Linked DNA regions of Lepisosteus oculatus. The protein of the gene in region 2 interacts with the protein of the main gene of each other region in a pairwise test. Links are inferred from orthologs where the notes say so. Each region holds a gene or a part of one and is shown on either strand. Other genes may lie near its edges.

Region 1 (7,569 bases), on a different chromosome or scaffold from region 2:
AATCCTTTCATCAAAAAGGACCAGCCTGCTGGGTGAAAAAAGTGGTAAAACCCTTTCTGCCTCTAGACCATGTGAAGGTACTGTGCTATTGCATATATATATTTTTATAATAAATATTTATATGTACCCAAACAAAGATTCCTGTTCTCAATGATGTAGAAGACACTCTTAAAGTTACATTCACCCTGACTATTTTGTATAATTTTTCAAGTGCTTCATTTTTTTATTTCTAATCAGTCATTATTTTAACAACATAAGTAAAATTTGAGGAATCTGAATGGTGCATTGCACGATTTTAATAGCATCCCTTTGATGTTAAATTATTCACTTTTAACTATATATATATATAGTTTACCATAGAATATGTCCCTACTTATAGTTTTGTTCATGAAAACCGGCAGAGGTTGGAGACAGTAAACCTGACTTTCTTGATGTAATCTGCTGCCCTGGCTGTCAATATAATTGATTTATGATTTAGGACACTGTGGACCAGCTCTTACAAAACTTTATAATTAAAAGACATTGGAAAATGTTGTAAATAATAATTATAATACTACTAATACTAATAATACAACTAATAATAATAGTAATACATTTTCAACTTAAATCTTCTGTGAATATGGCCATTGTTTCTCTGTTTGGTATTAATTCACATGTATTGTTTCTGAGTTTCACAAAGCAATAAAGTGATTTAATTTCTCAAAGGTAAGAATAAAAGCAGAAAAGAACAACTAAAACAGAAATTATTTACTTTTTCATTATTTATTATTATTTACGTATTTATTTCTATTTCTGCAGTTCCACACATGCAGTTCTGAACAATTGATGGCATTTCATTTCTTTAAGAATCGTTAAAAGAAATGTTTTTTATTTACAGAAACAAAATTATACTCTTAATCACTTATGATACTTGTGAATTGTATTATAAAGTTGATCTTATGCACTAGCCTTCCTCCGCCTCTGTATCTTTGTGTACATTTATTTCATATTACCAGTCAAATCAAAATAGTGCTGAATTAAGCAGGTTTTTTGAAGTTTGGAATTTTCAAATAATTTTTAAACCTCACTACTATAATTAATCTTGGAAGACGTCTACTCAACTTGTGGTTGGGCTTTCCTCTGAAACATCGGAGCTGTTCATCATTTTACATTACAAGTCTCATAGTGGCTTGCAGAAGACTTAATCATCGCTGGATAATGACATAAAATTGACGAAGTTGGACTGCAGGGCTCAACCTCCCTTCCAAATGAGCACCTCAACTATACCAAAGCAAATCCCCTCAGTAGCTTTGCTTTGTAGTTGAAGTAATAAAGTAAATAAAAAATCTTCTTACCCGACCATACATCTCCCTGTAGGCCTCAGCAATTACTTGTCTCTGTGCATTACTGCGCTGAGTCAGAATATCAATCAGCACATCTTTATTGCATCCTGAACATAAAAAAAGAATCCCAGACTAAATAATGCTTAAAATGTAAATATTTTTATTACTGATTTTTAATGTCTTAATGTCACCCATTCCACTTTGCCAGAAGATTTGATTACAAGGGTGTGTTCTACTCCAATTAATTTAACATCCAGAGATACTTTAGAGATCTGGAGCCATGGATGTCCTGGAATTTTCTTTAACAAAATTTCCCGAATCTCCTTAGTTTCAGAATCACGTAACAGCAAAATAATGTATGTTAGTCTTTTCAGCTGCTACAAAACTCTACAGTGCAAAGCTGGAGCTTTTGATTGACCTTTGAATTTTCTCCTTTAAGTCAGAAACCACAGAGTTTGCTTGACCTTTGAGCTTTCTATCAACCATATACAGTATCTCATCTATTTTCCTTTTACCACTTGTAAATTACTGCAAAGATTTATTTATTATAAAAAATTATCCCAAGGTATTTTCCAAGGGCATGGGAATGTACTTTCTTTAAAATGAGATGGTTTAATGGAATTATAACAAAGTTAGAAGAAAGAAGAATGTTAGATCCCAATCTTGCACAATTGCCCACATATACGCAGTACACTAAATCTCACAAGTGGGACTTCCTGCAGTACAACTCTTTTGTATCCCTCAATACAGAGGGAGTGTCTGGGTAGCCTCACCCTTAAAATGAGGCTGCCAAACTCCCTCGACTAGGCGAGTAATGTCAACTATACTCTGCACATCTTGTCTCTCACATTTATTAGGATCTAACCAAACTACTGAACTGTTTGTTATCCTATCAACCTGAGGGTTGCTAAAATTGAAATATTTGTAAAGGAACATATTCATATTTATAAAACATTCAATACATATAAATGTATTTTATATGTAAAAAAAGATGTATCACTTCTTGACATTAAATATGTTTCAGTAGTACATCCAAACCCTAATTTAAAGAACAGCAAAGGCTTGTTTTGAATTAATATTTCTTTTTTGGCTTACCTTGCCTGGCTGAATAAAACAGTCAGCTACTTGAGTGGCACAAGTGGGTGAGATTAGGGTTTGACTTCCTCTTGAACTTTTGATAAAAACAATTTTATTCACTAAATTGCTTACTCATACCTTGAATAGCTCCAAACAGCTCTTCTGTATCCCTGCAAGGGTTAAAATCTTGAGCTGGGTAAATTGTCCCTTGTATCTGTGATAAAAATAATACAGTTTGACCAAACTTTTCTAAACATGAATTACAGTATAGTGAAAATAGATTCCAATTTCTTAAGTATTCAGGACTATGTATGTCAGATTTTCGGGGTTTGGGAACCAAAGTCTTTTTCACCAAAGTGCAAATTAACAGTAGTACAGTATGTGATGTTTTTATACTGTAGGTCCCTGATCACACAAAATAATTATATATGCAATGTCCCTTCTGTTGATTATTGTTTGTACTGCTGTGTGTTCAGATGATCATTTTTAAATTATCCTATTTAGATGATTCTTACTTATATTATTTTTCAGACATTGATATTGACCCTTACCTTGGAGAGGTACTTTTCCAAGTAATGCAGCCAGTGACTCCACTTCCCTAAATTGAAACAAATCCAAGCCATAGCAGACTCTGGGACTACAATCTACCTTGGAAAACTCTCTGGTAGACCCTACTCAATTTGACACTGAGGAAAAAAGTGAGGTGACTTGTGTGCATAGTAATTGCAAAGAATGCCCAACTGTAAAGCTTCAGTTCCATGAAGAGCAAAACATACTGTAGAAATACAGGCTGAGGTCCAGTGCTAGCTCTTTTTGTGACACATAATTCCTTTTTATGATAGTGAGTTGAGACTTCCCCATATTCTAGAAGATCATGCAGGCCAAGATTGGAACCTGATGCCCTAGAGCACTTTTAATCCTTGTCTCTTTGTTTAGCCAAACCCCCCAAAAAAAACAAAGAAAGGCAGGGAAAGAAAAGAAGCTGAAAAAAGGGGACTACTGTATTAGGGGTTAAAGGCAGGGCAGGGTGTCACTACTCAGACTGATGTATGCACCTCAGCCCTTTTCCACCTGGTGCTCCTCTTGATAAATAGGACGTAGGCATCATCACGGGGAACTTCCTTTGCAATCAAATGGAAGCACAGGTACAGGTGGCTAAAATTCCTGAATCTGTCCACTATTTTTTAAAATATATTTTCATTCTAGATCTTAATAAAGTTAACATGCAGATTCCCCTGAGATCACACATAATGTCACCAACTGCTTCTGTAACTCCTTCTGGTTTTTTACAATCCATGCACGTTATAGATTGTCCGTTGTGACCATACTTTCAATATGCCACAGCTTGCTGTGATGATGTAGACATATTAGTGAAACTTGGGAATTGCATCTATCCCACTTTCCAGCTGTCCTAAGTAGCTAAGAGAGGTCAGTGTCATATGATCATCACAGGAAAAGTTGACTTGACTTCACCTAGATTCAATATCTGGGACAGTGGGTAAAGAACCGTTAGGTTAGGCTTGAGCTTGAGATTTGAAACATTTTTTAAGTTTTGTCCCTTGCCAAAGGCCAAAATCAATTATGGGCCTTTCTGGGACTGATTGGGTACCATTACCATTTCATAGCTGAGTTTATGGACCTAATTCAAACAAAACATCTCAACATAATCTGGTTGAGTCTCACATGACCACATAGACCACATAGACTTTGCAGACAAGAAGACTTTGCCGTCACTATCCCCTGTGTTTCTACCCAGCCTGATCCTACTGCGTCTTCCCTGATGACACCTCCCTACTCCAGTCACTTCAGGATTATACCGTCGTCTCGCATAGTGTCTTTAACTACGTGTTTCACGGGAGTCAGAACCGACGACCATGATAGTAAGATAATATTAGACAGGAACAACATACAATAATAAATTTATAAAATGGCAATAAGGTAAGTTAATGGCAATAAGTCTTGCACAAGCAAGAAATGCAATGTACATGCTTCTCTAGACAGACCAAACTGCTCAGAATTAAAATATCATACAGATTTCATGGATACAAGACAGTGATGACAAAAAATGAAGATATATATTGGTATACTGTACATGTATAACCAATCACTTTGTTGTATTGAGAGTTAAGCACATTGATGCAACAGGGTGTACATGTGACTGAGGAATATAATTAAAATGAGAAATTACAGATAAACAGATTGGTCTTGAGCTGGGTAAAAAAGCAGTCCAGATATAAAAAGAGATACATGTTGATTTATGTATTTGGATGTGTGAGACATTGAAAAATAATATAACATTTTGAGCACTTGGTATTTGGTTCATTTTTTTCAAGTTTAAAGTTGTAACTTTTATGGCAGATGTAGTACAAAATACAGCTGAAAATGTTTTCATGCAGTATCTATGACGTGTGCGGTAATGTATCTTTCTTCACCTTTATTTTTTAAAAACTAATTATTATTTCAGTTTAGTTGTAATGAGAATAGGGATAGTTTTAAAACATACAGTCTATTTTAGAAAATGAATGTGCAGGAAATAAGCACGCTAAATGTATCCAATGAAAAGAAAAGAGAAAAAAGCAACTTACATATCCAGCCGAAAACATCCTTTTTTAGCTTCCCTTAAAAAGACAGAAAGACGATGCTCAGTGAAATATTTAATGTTCTCAGCTTTTTTACTGTATTTTACAACCACACACCTTATTCCTTATACCATAAAATAAAATATCAGTGTTAAACTCGTGAAGACGGAAAATATGCTATCAGACTACTGATTGTGAATCTTGGTCCAAATATTTATTCAGTCTACACCTGTTCTGTAACTTAACAAGAGACCTATTCATTATTCTCGAACCATTCAACGTCATAAGTCTATTCTAAAAGCACAAGGGCATGTTCTTAGAAAAAACAGTAAGACCTTTTGGTATACTGTATACAGTATTAACATGCAATATGAAATGATGGGTAAGTGACGGATAAATTTATGCAAGACTTTTAAGTACATGGCTCTATAGTTTTTGTTAAAGAATAGGGCCTTAATGTCTAATAATAATAATAATAATAATAATAATAATAATAATAATAATAATAATAATTGAAGCACACTGGTAAAGGTATTTCTTTCTTTTAAAAATGCTCAAATAATCAGTCAGTTTTTGTACACATCAAAATATAAAGTTTAATCTTTCTTAGTTTAACATGAAGATGAATGTATTTCTCAGGATATTGTATTGTGCATCCAAATACATACTGTTTGTCCTGTATCTTAAAAACACATTTGCACACAAAACGTATACTTAACAAATATGACCTATTCCATTGTATAAATATCTGTAGTATGATTTTAGATTTTTTTTATCTACTGTACTACTCTTTTATAAACGTTGTACAGGGATCAAGTGAAAATGAGCAGTGTGACTGATAATGACAAATGCAACACAATACTTTCACGAGGAATGACAGCAGCCGAAAGGTTGAGAGAAATTAGAATCATTTATTGGGATATGAAGACTTGGCTTAACCCACTTGGCTGACGGCCATTGGACAGGGAGGATAGGACCCACATGCGACCAATTGGGCAGTTGCAAAGGTGGAGGAGGGATGCAGAAAACGAACGAGGGAGAAGAGAGGGTGACGTTTCGTATATATGGAGACTGGTTGCTCACGTCAGAAGTACAGAATTGAGTACTTTTTTAAAAAATCTTGAGACAAAAATATAGTTTTTTGTTTTTTACATTAATAGATGTCTTACTCTTTATCTTTATATCTATTATATATCTTATTATATATGAAAAAATATTTTCAATAAAGATAATCATACAGTATGTCTGAGACATAGCTTTATGCTTCTCAAATCTATAATATTTTCATTAACAATATAATTTTGTAACAGTTTGAGAATTTTATTCAAAAGAATTTTGGTGTGCTTTCTTGGAAGTTGCTGCATCAGTAATAGAGCTCCATTTACTAGATAAGTACAGCTACAAAGTCTTTCAAAGGTGTTTCCAGAGAACAAATCAGAACCAAACAAGGAAGATGAGTAAATATTCAGCACTCTAAAGAGCACCTGAAACATAGAATTCTACAGGTCAGATATAGGAGCACTTTCATCTCTGTGTAAGTAGACGTGTTATTATGTAACCCATTACTTTCTTTAAATGGCAGAATTGTGAAATTGTGAAAATAAAGGACAAGATGTGAACATCCCATGCATACTTAGCAGGGGGTTCAAGTGTTTAGATTTTTTGTCTGTAATCTGCTTCTCCATACAACCAATTGTATCATATCTGAAAAGTGGAACAGTTTCTATTTTTGCTTCCCATTTCAGAGAGTCACATCTTCAAGGTCGGCTGAAACAAGACTGTTAAAAGAACACTACAGTATATACAGTATAAGTCCAGAAACATATAATAACATGTGCAATATCATAATTTTAACACACTGAAATTCTAATGCAGCAGGGATACATCTCTTTAACTGAGTGATATTTTAAATAATGTATTTTCCTTGAGTTGAATGTGTGATTATTGAGATTTCAGATAAACAATCAAAAGCAGTATATTCAGTCATGCTCCAACGATCAGCTTGAATTCTTCCTGCACCATTTCACCAACTTCCACCCGTCCCTCAAATATACGGTTAACATTTCTTCCACCACTCTTCCACCACTCTTCCGTTTCTAGACATCCACTTGTCTATCAACTACCCCCAACCACACCCCCCCAACCACACTAAAAACTCTCTTCCTTTTTCACAGTTCCTTAGGTTACGACGATTATGCAGCGATGACATCGACTTCGAAAACCAAGCCCTCGAAATGTACTCATTTTTTATGAACAGAGGATACCCCAGCAGTGTGATTGACAGGGCCCTTGCCCGAGCCAAAAACACCCCCCGGACCATCAACCCGATCAGGAACTCCCTCCGTAACAACCGCATTCCTTTGGTGCTTCCTTACCACCCTAACACACTTCCTATCCCAAGGACCATTAACCAGAACATTTCCATCCTACAGGATGATCCCTCCATTGGGGCCCTCTTTTCTGATCGCCCTATCATCTCATATCGCCGACCACCTAATCTGCGTAACCTCCTTGTCCACAGCTCCCTTGACCGCCCTCAGCAACCATCCACACCAGGCACTTTCCCTTGCAAAAGAGCTCGCTGTATCACC
Region 2 (7,970 bases):
CGCTCATCAGGCTCTGTCTTCCTCCTCAACCCCAGGGTTTGACACCATTAGCACTGCACTCTCCTGGTCTCTCATGTACTTGGTGGCCTATCCTGGAATTCAGGAAAAGATCCAGAAAGAGCTGGGTAAGTTGAGCCTTTTTTGTTTAATCCAATTCTGCCTCCTTCTGCTCTCGCCTCTGGACTACGTGACTGTGCTGCTCTGGGGCTCTGCACACCCCAGCTGCCCCTCAGCTTGTGTGGTGAACGCCCTGGCTCAGCTGGTTCTGTGATCTCCCCTGCAGATGAGAACGTGGGCAGGGAGCGCGAAGTCAGGCTGTCGGACAAGCCCATCCTTCCCTACCTGGAGGCCTTCATCCTGGAGATGTTCCGGCACTCCTCCTTCCTGCCCTTCACCATCCCGCACTGGTGAGGACCCCTCCGGGGCCGGGACACAATCCCGGCACCCCTTGATGGGCGAGAGGGAATTCACATCCTAAACTGAAGAATGTCCCAGAAACCTCTTTCTCTTGTTAATTGTATAAACTACTAAAGCAGCTGACATATCTAAGATGTTAACAATCTGTAACTGGCCATCCAGCCTCTGAGAGGTCGCAGCAATGCGGGAGTCGAAAGCGACTCGCACGCATTATTGTTCAGGAAAGGTGGTTGATTTAATCAAAGTGCTTTTGTATAAATGTAGCAAATTATATTTTAAAAACTGCAAATACATTTCACCCTTAATCTGTTTAACATTGAAAAATATCTTATTGAAACCTATCGCATTAAATAGGCAAACACTCCAATCAGACCAATAACACAATTTTCACAAGTAATCTTAATACGATGAACTTTAAGAGGTGTTTTGCTGTTGGACAAATAAGAATATAATATATGTATAAGAAGTCTGCTTTACTCCCCTGTTGTGAGTGATCATGACCTCAGTTTACGGCCTGCTTCTCCCTTCCAGCACCACTAAGGACACCGTCCTCAACGGCTTCTACATCGCCAAGGATACCTGTGTCTTTATTAACCAGTGGCAGATCAACCATGACCCGTGAGTGTGGCTTTCTGCAGTGGACCATACCTGAAGGCCTTTGCTATTGGATTTTTAAGATATTTAAGTAGAACAAAAGTAATCTTAATCAGCATTATAAACATTATTTTTAATGAACTGAACAGCTAAATAATATCTGCAAGCACTTCTAGTTGGATTTCCATAATTGACATAAAACAGTTATTTCTATGGTTTTGGCAGAGGTTGTCTAATACAGGTATTCATTCAGCACAGCTTTAAATAAAACCAAACTGTTCAAACTCTGGGACTTAGAACCAGGTACAATTTCACCTGCTGCGACAACAAGAACAATGTGCAAGATGATTTTTAAGGAAACTTTGTGAAGGCAGTCTCGATTATTTAAAGGTCCAGGTCAAGTGTGCTAATGTAGGCATCAAAATTACTTCTTTAGTAATCTACAATTTCAAGCCTTTTGCCGGGTCTTCAGGACACAGAACATACAGGACAAAAGTAGCACAGAAGTGAAATGCTATGAAAAGCTGGTAGTGCATCACCCTTTAAATCCATTCAGAAAAGTAAGTTGGCTGCCCTGTTTCAAGTTGAGCCTGTTTTTTCTTTCATTAGAATCACGTGGAAGGACCCCTCCTCCTTCAGCCCAGAGCGCTTCCTGGACGCTGAGGGCATGACTGTGAACAAGATGGAGGCGGAGAAGGTGATGGTGTTCGGGATGGGCAAGCGGCGCTGCATTGGGGAGTCCATCGGGCGCTCCGAGGTCTTCCTCTTCCTGGCCATCCTCCTGCAGAAGCTCACATTCCACAGCCTCCCCGACCACGAGCTGGACATGACGCCCGAGTACGGCCTCACCATGAAGCACAAGCGCTGCCACCTGCGTGCCAGCCTGAGAGTGCGCGCGGAGTGAGCTCCTTGGCGGCCGTGGAGCCCGCAGTGCACCTCGCCGCGCTGGGAGCGATGGCTGTTCCGTGTCTAGCTGTTCCTGGAGGTTGATAGCGTTGAGCTGCTGACGCAGCGGTCTGGCTTTCAAACAGGAGCTATGTGTCTTCGACTTGAGACTAGAATGCCAGAAGAAGCCAATACAAAGTACACAACAGATTTCTTAAATTGTAAAGGGCTGCTTTTCAAAAGAAAAGCCAAAATGTAATTGCAAGCAACTGTGTGAGAATTAATTCTAACTGAAGCTCCAGTTGACTTGAATCTGAACTTCCAAACCAGTTCTCAAAAGAAAAATAACTTTATAGTTTCAGTACAGCAGGAGGTCTGTAAGAATGTGTGAAAGCTGACTTCAGAGATGGCTGATCAGTTTGTAGTGACTTATCTCATTCTGTATATGAGTGGTTCCATCAGGTAGAACTGATGGGGAAAAATAAAATTAAAAACAGATGTCTGCCTTCAAAAGTGTATAAAATGGAACCCATCTGTTATTATTACTCTGATATTTAAATGTTGAAACTAGGGATTTTTAGCTTTGTAGGAATTGCTGTAAATCTCTTATTTGGGTTTTGCTCCTTTATCAGAAATAACTCATCAAAAGAGTTCTGTGCTGCCTCAGATCAAAAGCTTCCAGTTTGTGCGCATTTCTAAAACTGCTTTGCACCAGTTTCAATGTTGTTGTCTTATTCCTCTTGTTATGATAGGTAAGGGGATATTTTCAGTTTTTAATCTGAATTTAGGTCTTAAATCAAAGTTGCAAATGGATTTTCATTGTATTCTTTATTTAGTTGAATACGTTTTGCTACTTGTATCCAAACGCAGATTTATGGCACGTGATTTGCTTTTTGCCTTTACACCGGTTTGTAACCTGTTCTGGTGATGTGGAAGAGCTTTGTTATTCGGTTGTCTGTAATTGTATACAACTCAAAGTTAAGCCCCAGAAACAATGGACACTGTATAGGAAATATACTTTGTGTCTTAGGCGCCTTTCGAACAAATCTTTTTTTTTTTAACCTGTATATGTAGAATGTAGAGTTATTTGTGAAAGATTCAATATTGACCACAAGTGTCACACTAGCCATCCCAGGTTTGAGGTCTCTCGTCTTTTTTGCCATATATTTATATGTGGAGTAACATATTGATGCTTTGTCTGCCAGGAGGGGCATTTATCCCAGAATGTGACAGTGTACTTAACCAAACAACACTTACCTATTTAAGGGCTTTTACAGGTCCTGAACAAAATATCAGTTTTTGTACATGTAACAAATTGTGGGATGAGGGACTGAATTATACTGTACCTTATTGACTTAAAAATAGCTTTTATTATTTTCTGTCTAAAAACATATTCTAGCCAATTGTACAGCCATTTGTATTGTTAACAGGTGTATCTGTGAATTTTATTACGCAATCATGAAGGACCTTTTTCCAAGCTGTTGCAGTTACGCTGATCTTGTAGAACAAAATATATGCAAGTTATGGTAATTTCTTTTTAAATGATTTTGGTTTGTGCTTGCTTATATCAAGCTATTTTCTCTCATTCATGTATCAAGCTTACAGCATGTATAAGAGGAGTTCCTGTTTTTTTAAAAACATTTAATCTCTGTGAGATAATAAATGGGATAAAGTAATAAATTGGATGGAAATAATAAACCTTTTGAACATGAACCCGGTCTTTTTTATTTCTTATTTTTATAGACATACAATTATATTGTGTAGCACTGATACTAAATAGGTTAGTTAAATACATTTTGACTTGCATTTTCATTCTCAAATGTGACAGTCAACATTTTCACATTTAAATATTTAATCTAGCACATAAACTATATTGCATCTTCTAATATCAGACCCATATGATCTCAACTATATATTCCAATGTTTACAGTTCGTTTTATAGCATGTACAAATATTTACATTCTTCTGATGCAATATTCTTGTCAGTGTCACTTTTTGATTTGTGCATTAAGTTCATTTATTTTTAACCTCAGGTTTCTTAATGTAATTTGTAGTGTGAGCTGTCTTTTTTTCTTAATTTCTTTATTACTCCATTTCAGCCATATTTCCCTAGCTTTAAATATTTCTTTCTCGGCACCATCCATTTGAATACCTGAATCATATCACGGTGTAAACCTAGAAATCGTGTCCTATAACATTTGTATTTCACGCCAATTAAATTAGATTTTTCAAACTTTAAAACAAAGGGGAACGTGTTTTGTATTCTGAATCTTTCAGCAGAACACTAACCATTTACAGATAATTTGACATGAAGTTGTGTTGGGCTGTGTGTCTTCTCTCTACCCTTCCGAGTGGTTTCATTTCATATCCTGTTCCATATTCTCAGCCTTCAATGTGACAGATCATCACGGGTTTCTGTCCTCCAACACGTAAAGACGCACCAACATTTCAAAAACTGTTTCTAACCAAAGAATTATTTCAATACGAGAAAAAGAAACGTCAGTCTTTCTCATTTGATGCGAGATTTGTTGATCATTTTTATTTTATTCTGCTACAGTAGAGAAAATAGTTCGGTAACCGTAAAACAGAATAAATGCATAATATCACAGAGTTTAAAAGTGTGTACGTTTTTTCGACTTGCTTCCCGCACGACACTTGAACCAAATTTCTTATTCCATGTAGCCTATGCATTCTATAAAGTATCTTCTTAAACTCATACTGCATACATTTTATAAGAGTATATACCACATTTTTTCTCATCTATATTTGATCCCTTTGATCAACAAATATTCTCTTTGTTCGTATGCCTATTTCAGTGGTCAAAAACATGGGAAATGTTTATCTGGAGGGCCCATGAAGTCAGGTGGCTAGCTTTCAGTAGCATCTAGCTACAGACGGCTCACATCCCTGAGAACACAGTCTGTGTGCAGACGCAAAGAACAGATGCAGGAATAGTTACTACCGAAATTACAGAATTCATCCCCACGCGAGCAGCCTGTCTCTTTCAGCCAATGACTGGAAAGGACAGGACTCGCAGGAAGTGACGTACACAGTCGCAGAGAGGCCTTCGGGAAGTGACCCGCAGCGGGAGAAGAACTGTGGTGCTTATTAAAGCGGAGCCTTCGGGGTCTGGAAACATACAGAATAGAATTTATATTTCAGTTAAACGCAGATTTGTATTCATTTGTTTTTGAGAGGAGCAAAAAGCAGGTATTTCGTCTGTTTTTTATTTTAGAACATGGGTTAGAGTTATGGTCTTTTGTGGTTAAAATGGAAAGACGTAGCCATAGGACTCACGAGCTGTGTAGTAGTAGCACACAACGTAAAGTTTTAATGCTGTAGTGAGCCCTGGTTGACTACATTCAATTTTCAACTATTGACATATACACGCAGTTTAGTCAGGAACAGTCCCGTCTGTTCCTTGGTTTATTTACCAGGTCCGTGTTTTAGTCCTGCTCGCTGATGTGAAGGCCCTTCTCTCGGCAACTCCTCTTCATAGTAGTATAAGAAAGTTGAGTTTTTTTTTTAAATAAAAGGTTTAAATATCTCCAGGCAAAACATTTGCGTGATGCTGAAGCAGTACGTCAAGCAATGCACATGTACATCAATACAATTGTGTTGTAAACTTTTGTAGTCCTAATATGCAGTATAAGAATATGAGGGTTTGTTGGACTCGGGGGTGCATGTGGTAAACTGATGGTTATATGGTCTTGCAGTACAATAGTGGATACAGCAATCTTCTGTTGTCTTGTACACTCGGAGGCTGCTATTGCTGAAACCCTTTGCAAGGGAGTTTAGAGGATTCTTTCGAACATGGGTAAGCAGTCAAGAATCAACCCAGTTCTGGATGCAGTCTCTTCACCACCAACATAAAACTCGAATCCAGTGGATACGATTTTGCATTTTTTCCCTTTAGATTAAGAAAATCATGTTTGGTGCATTTAGTTGCAAAACAAAAGTAATGATTGTTTTGTTTAGTACTTCACTGTTTTTTTTTATTTTTCACCTGTTAAATTCAATAGAGATCATTCTGATTTACATTGACCATGCAGAAACCTGTTTATACAGCAGGGGATTTACTGGGGCAGTGCGAGGGACGTGGAAGGGTTGCAGGTGCGAAGGCAGAGCTTCACCTGAGAAACCAAGACTGGTCTGGAGTCCAGAGCCTTAGCTGCAACCCCAGGCACCTGCCTCTGTGTTGTTTGAAGTGATTGTTGGCGATTTTGGTTTTATTTAAATTGTGAGGTGTATGAAGTGCAGGGAGAATTCAGAGTGAAGTTTAAGCATGGTATACAGTGTAATATGATTAAATCCAAAAAATGTTCTGGGGGCGGAGTGTGTGTTTGGACCTTTATAACACCCAGGGAACTCTGAGTGGAACTTTGCATTGCATTTGTTACCTGCTCTCAGTATTCTGGCATCAGGCTGCTTCATTAACCTCCCACAGGTAAGAGAAAATAAGATGCTGCACCAAGAAAATTAGAGATCCAGGGGAACGTGCTTGATAGAGCAACTCTGCTGACAAGACACTTATAAAACTTTCAGGTTGCCTACGATATGGTAGGCAACTATATATATTCTGTATTGTAACTACTGTGACAAATTAAGTTCCCGTGTTTAAGACCATTTGTTTAACAGGAATACTGTTTTGGGTTCAGTTCTGTAGTGCACGATGCACAGAAGCTCCGACAGTTGGATGAAAAGCCACTTGTTGTGTTGCAGGCCAGGATGGCGGCGGACTGGCTGGGGAGCCTGGTGTCCATTAACTGTGGGGAGACGCTGGGGATGTACCAGGGAGAGGTGTCTGCTGTGGACCAGGCCAGCCAGACCATCTCCCTCAGACAGCCCTTTCACAATGGGATCAAGTGCCCGGTGCCTGAAGTCACCTTTAGGTGAGGTTCCAGGAGGCATTGTCTCAGACTACTTTTCACTCAGGTTTCAATCAAAAGGAGCTTACACAATATTTAACTTCAGTGTTAGTCTCTTTCTCACTTGTACGTTTCCATTATGATCTACTGCCATTATGTAAACTTAAGAGCAGACAATGTTTCCAAAAATCCTTGACGAATTTCCTTATTTTGTTAAATTCTTACATTCATTTCATTGACATTTTTTAACAACATTGGATTCTTTTCTGAACCTAAATATGAATTTTTGATTATTTCTGTTTGGAAAAAGCGGGATGATTTTAATCTGAATTATCTGTATTTTAGATACTTTATTGATCCCTTGAGGGAAATTGGAGTGCAACAGCAGCTTAACACAGACAACACAGACACAGTGTAACGAATGATACAATAATAATAATACAATACAATCAGTACAGTGCGAAGTGCACTAAGAAGAGTTACTCACAGTCCAGAACACACAAAGAACAGAACAGTACACAAAAAAGTCGTATTGCACAATATGATTATAAATATAAATGTATTGCTCAGGTCCCTGGCATATATTGCACAAAAACAGTTTTAAACGGGAAAAGAAAAAGAACAGATGTATCAGTTTACTGTTCAGTCCAGAAACGTCACTGTCAATGTTGCCTCTGCCCAGACGCAAGGTGGATGCGTCGTACAGTCTTATGGCAGAAGGCAAGAATGACCTCCTGTAGCGCTCCCTGTCGCACCGTAGATGGATCAGTCTATTGCTGAACGTGCTCTTCATTTCTGCAAGCCTGTCATAGAGGGGATGGGAGACGTTGTCCATGATGGCCTCTAGTTTGGACACCATTCTCCTCTCGGTCACTACCTCCAGGGGGTCCAGGCCAGACCCAATGACAGAGCTTGCTCTCCTGATGAGCTTGTTCAGCCTTTTAGAATCCACTGCTCTAATCCCAGAGCCCCAGCATACCACCATGTAGAAAATGACGCTCCCTACCACCGACTGATAGAACAGATGTAGCATTTTACTACACACATTGAAGGACCTGAGCCTCCTCAAGAAGTAAAGTCGGCTCTGACCCTTCTTAGACCACTCCCATGGATGTAGACAGGAGTAGGTTGGACCCTCTTCCTCCTGAAGTGTATCACCAACTCCTTAGTCTTTGCTACATTCAGTTGCAGGTGGTTCTCCCCACA

The links. The genes of interacting proteins can lie anywhere in the genome.
Region 1: the proteins of edc3 (region 2) and annexin A10 interact in binary tests that used the Homo sapiens proteins (3 or more experiments, as listed by UniProt). The link is inferred for Lepisosteus oculatus from reciprocal best matches to the Homo sapiens genes EDC3 and ANXA10.

Annotation. Positions count from the first base shown.
Region 1 is NC_090696.1:14,026,958-14,034,526, forward strand, and holds the start of annexin A10, read right to left. Parts: upstream 3,023-7,569; coding exon 2,951-3,022; intron 2,614-2,950; coding exon 2,532-2,613; intron 1,430-2,531; coding exon 1,335-1,429; intron 1-1,334.
Region 2 is NC_090700.1:56,696,013-56,703,982, reverse strand, and holds the start of edc3 (enhancer of mRNA-decapping protein 3), read left to right. Parts: upstream 1-4,964; 5' UTR 4,965-5,106; intron 5,107-5,498; exon of another isoform or gene 5,499-6,343; intron 6,344-6,618; 5' UTR 6,619-6,624; coding exon 6,625-6,788; intron 6,789-7,970. Other genes in the region: cyp1a (cytochrome P450 1A1), read left to right, coding at 36-125, 284-407, 949-1,035, 1,621-1,915. UniProt on the Homo sapiens protein: Binds single-stranded RNA. Involved in the process of mRNA degradation and in the positive regulation of mRNA decapping. May play a role in spermiogenesis and oogenesis.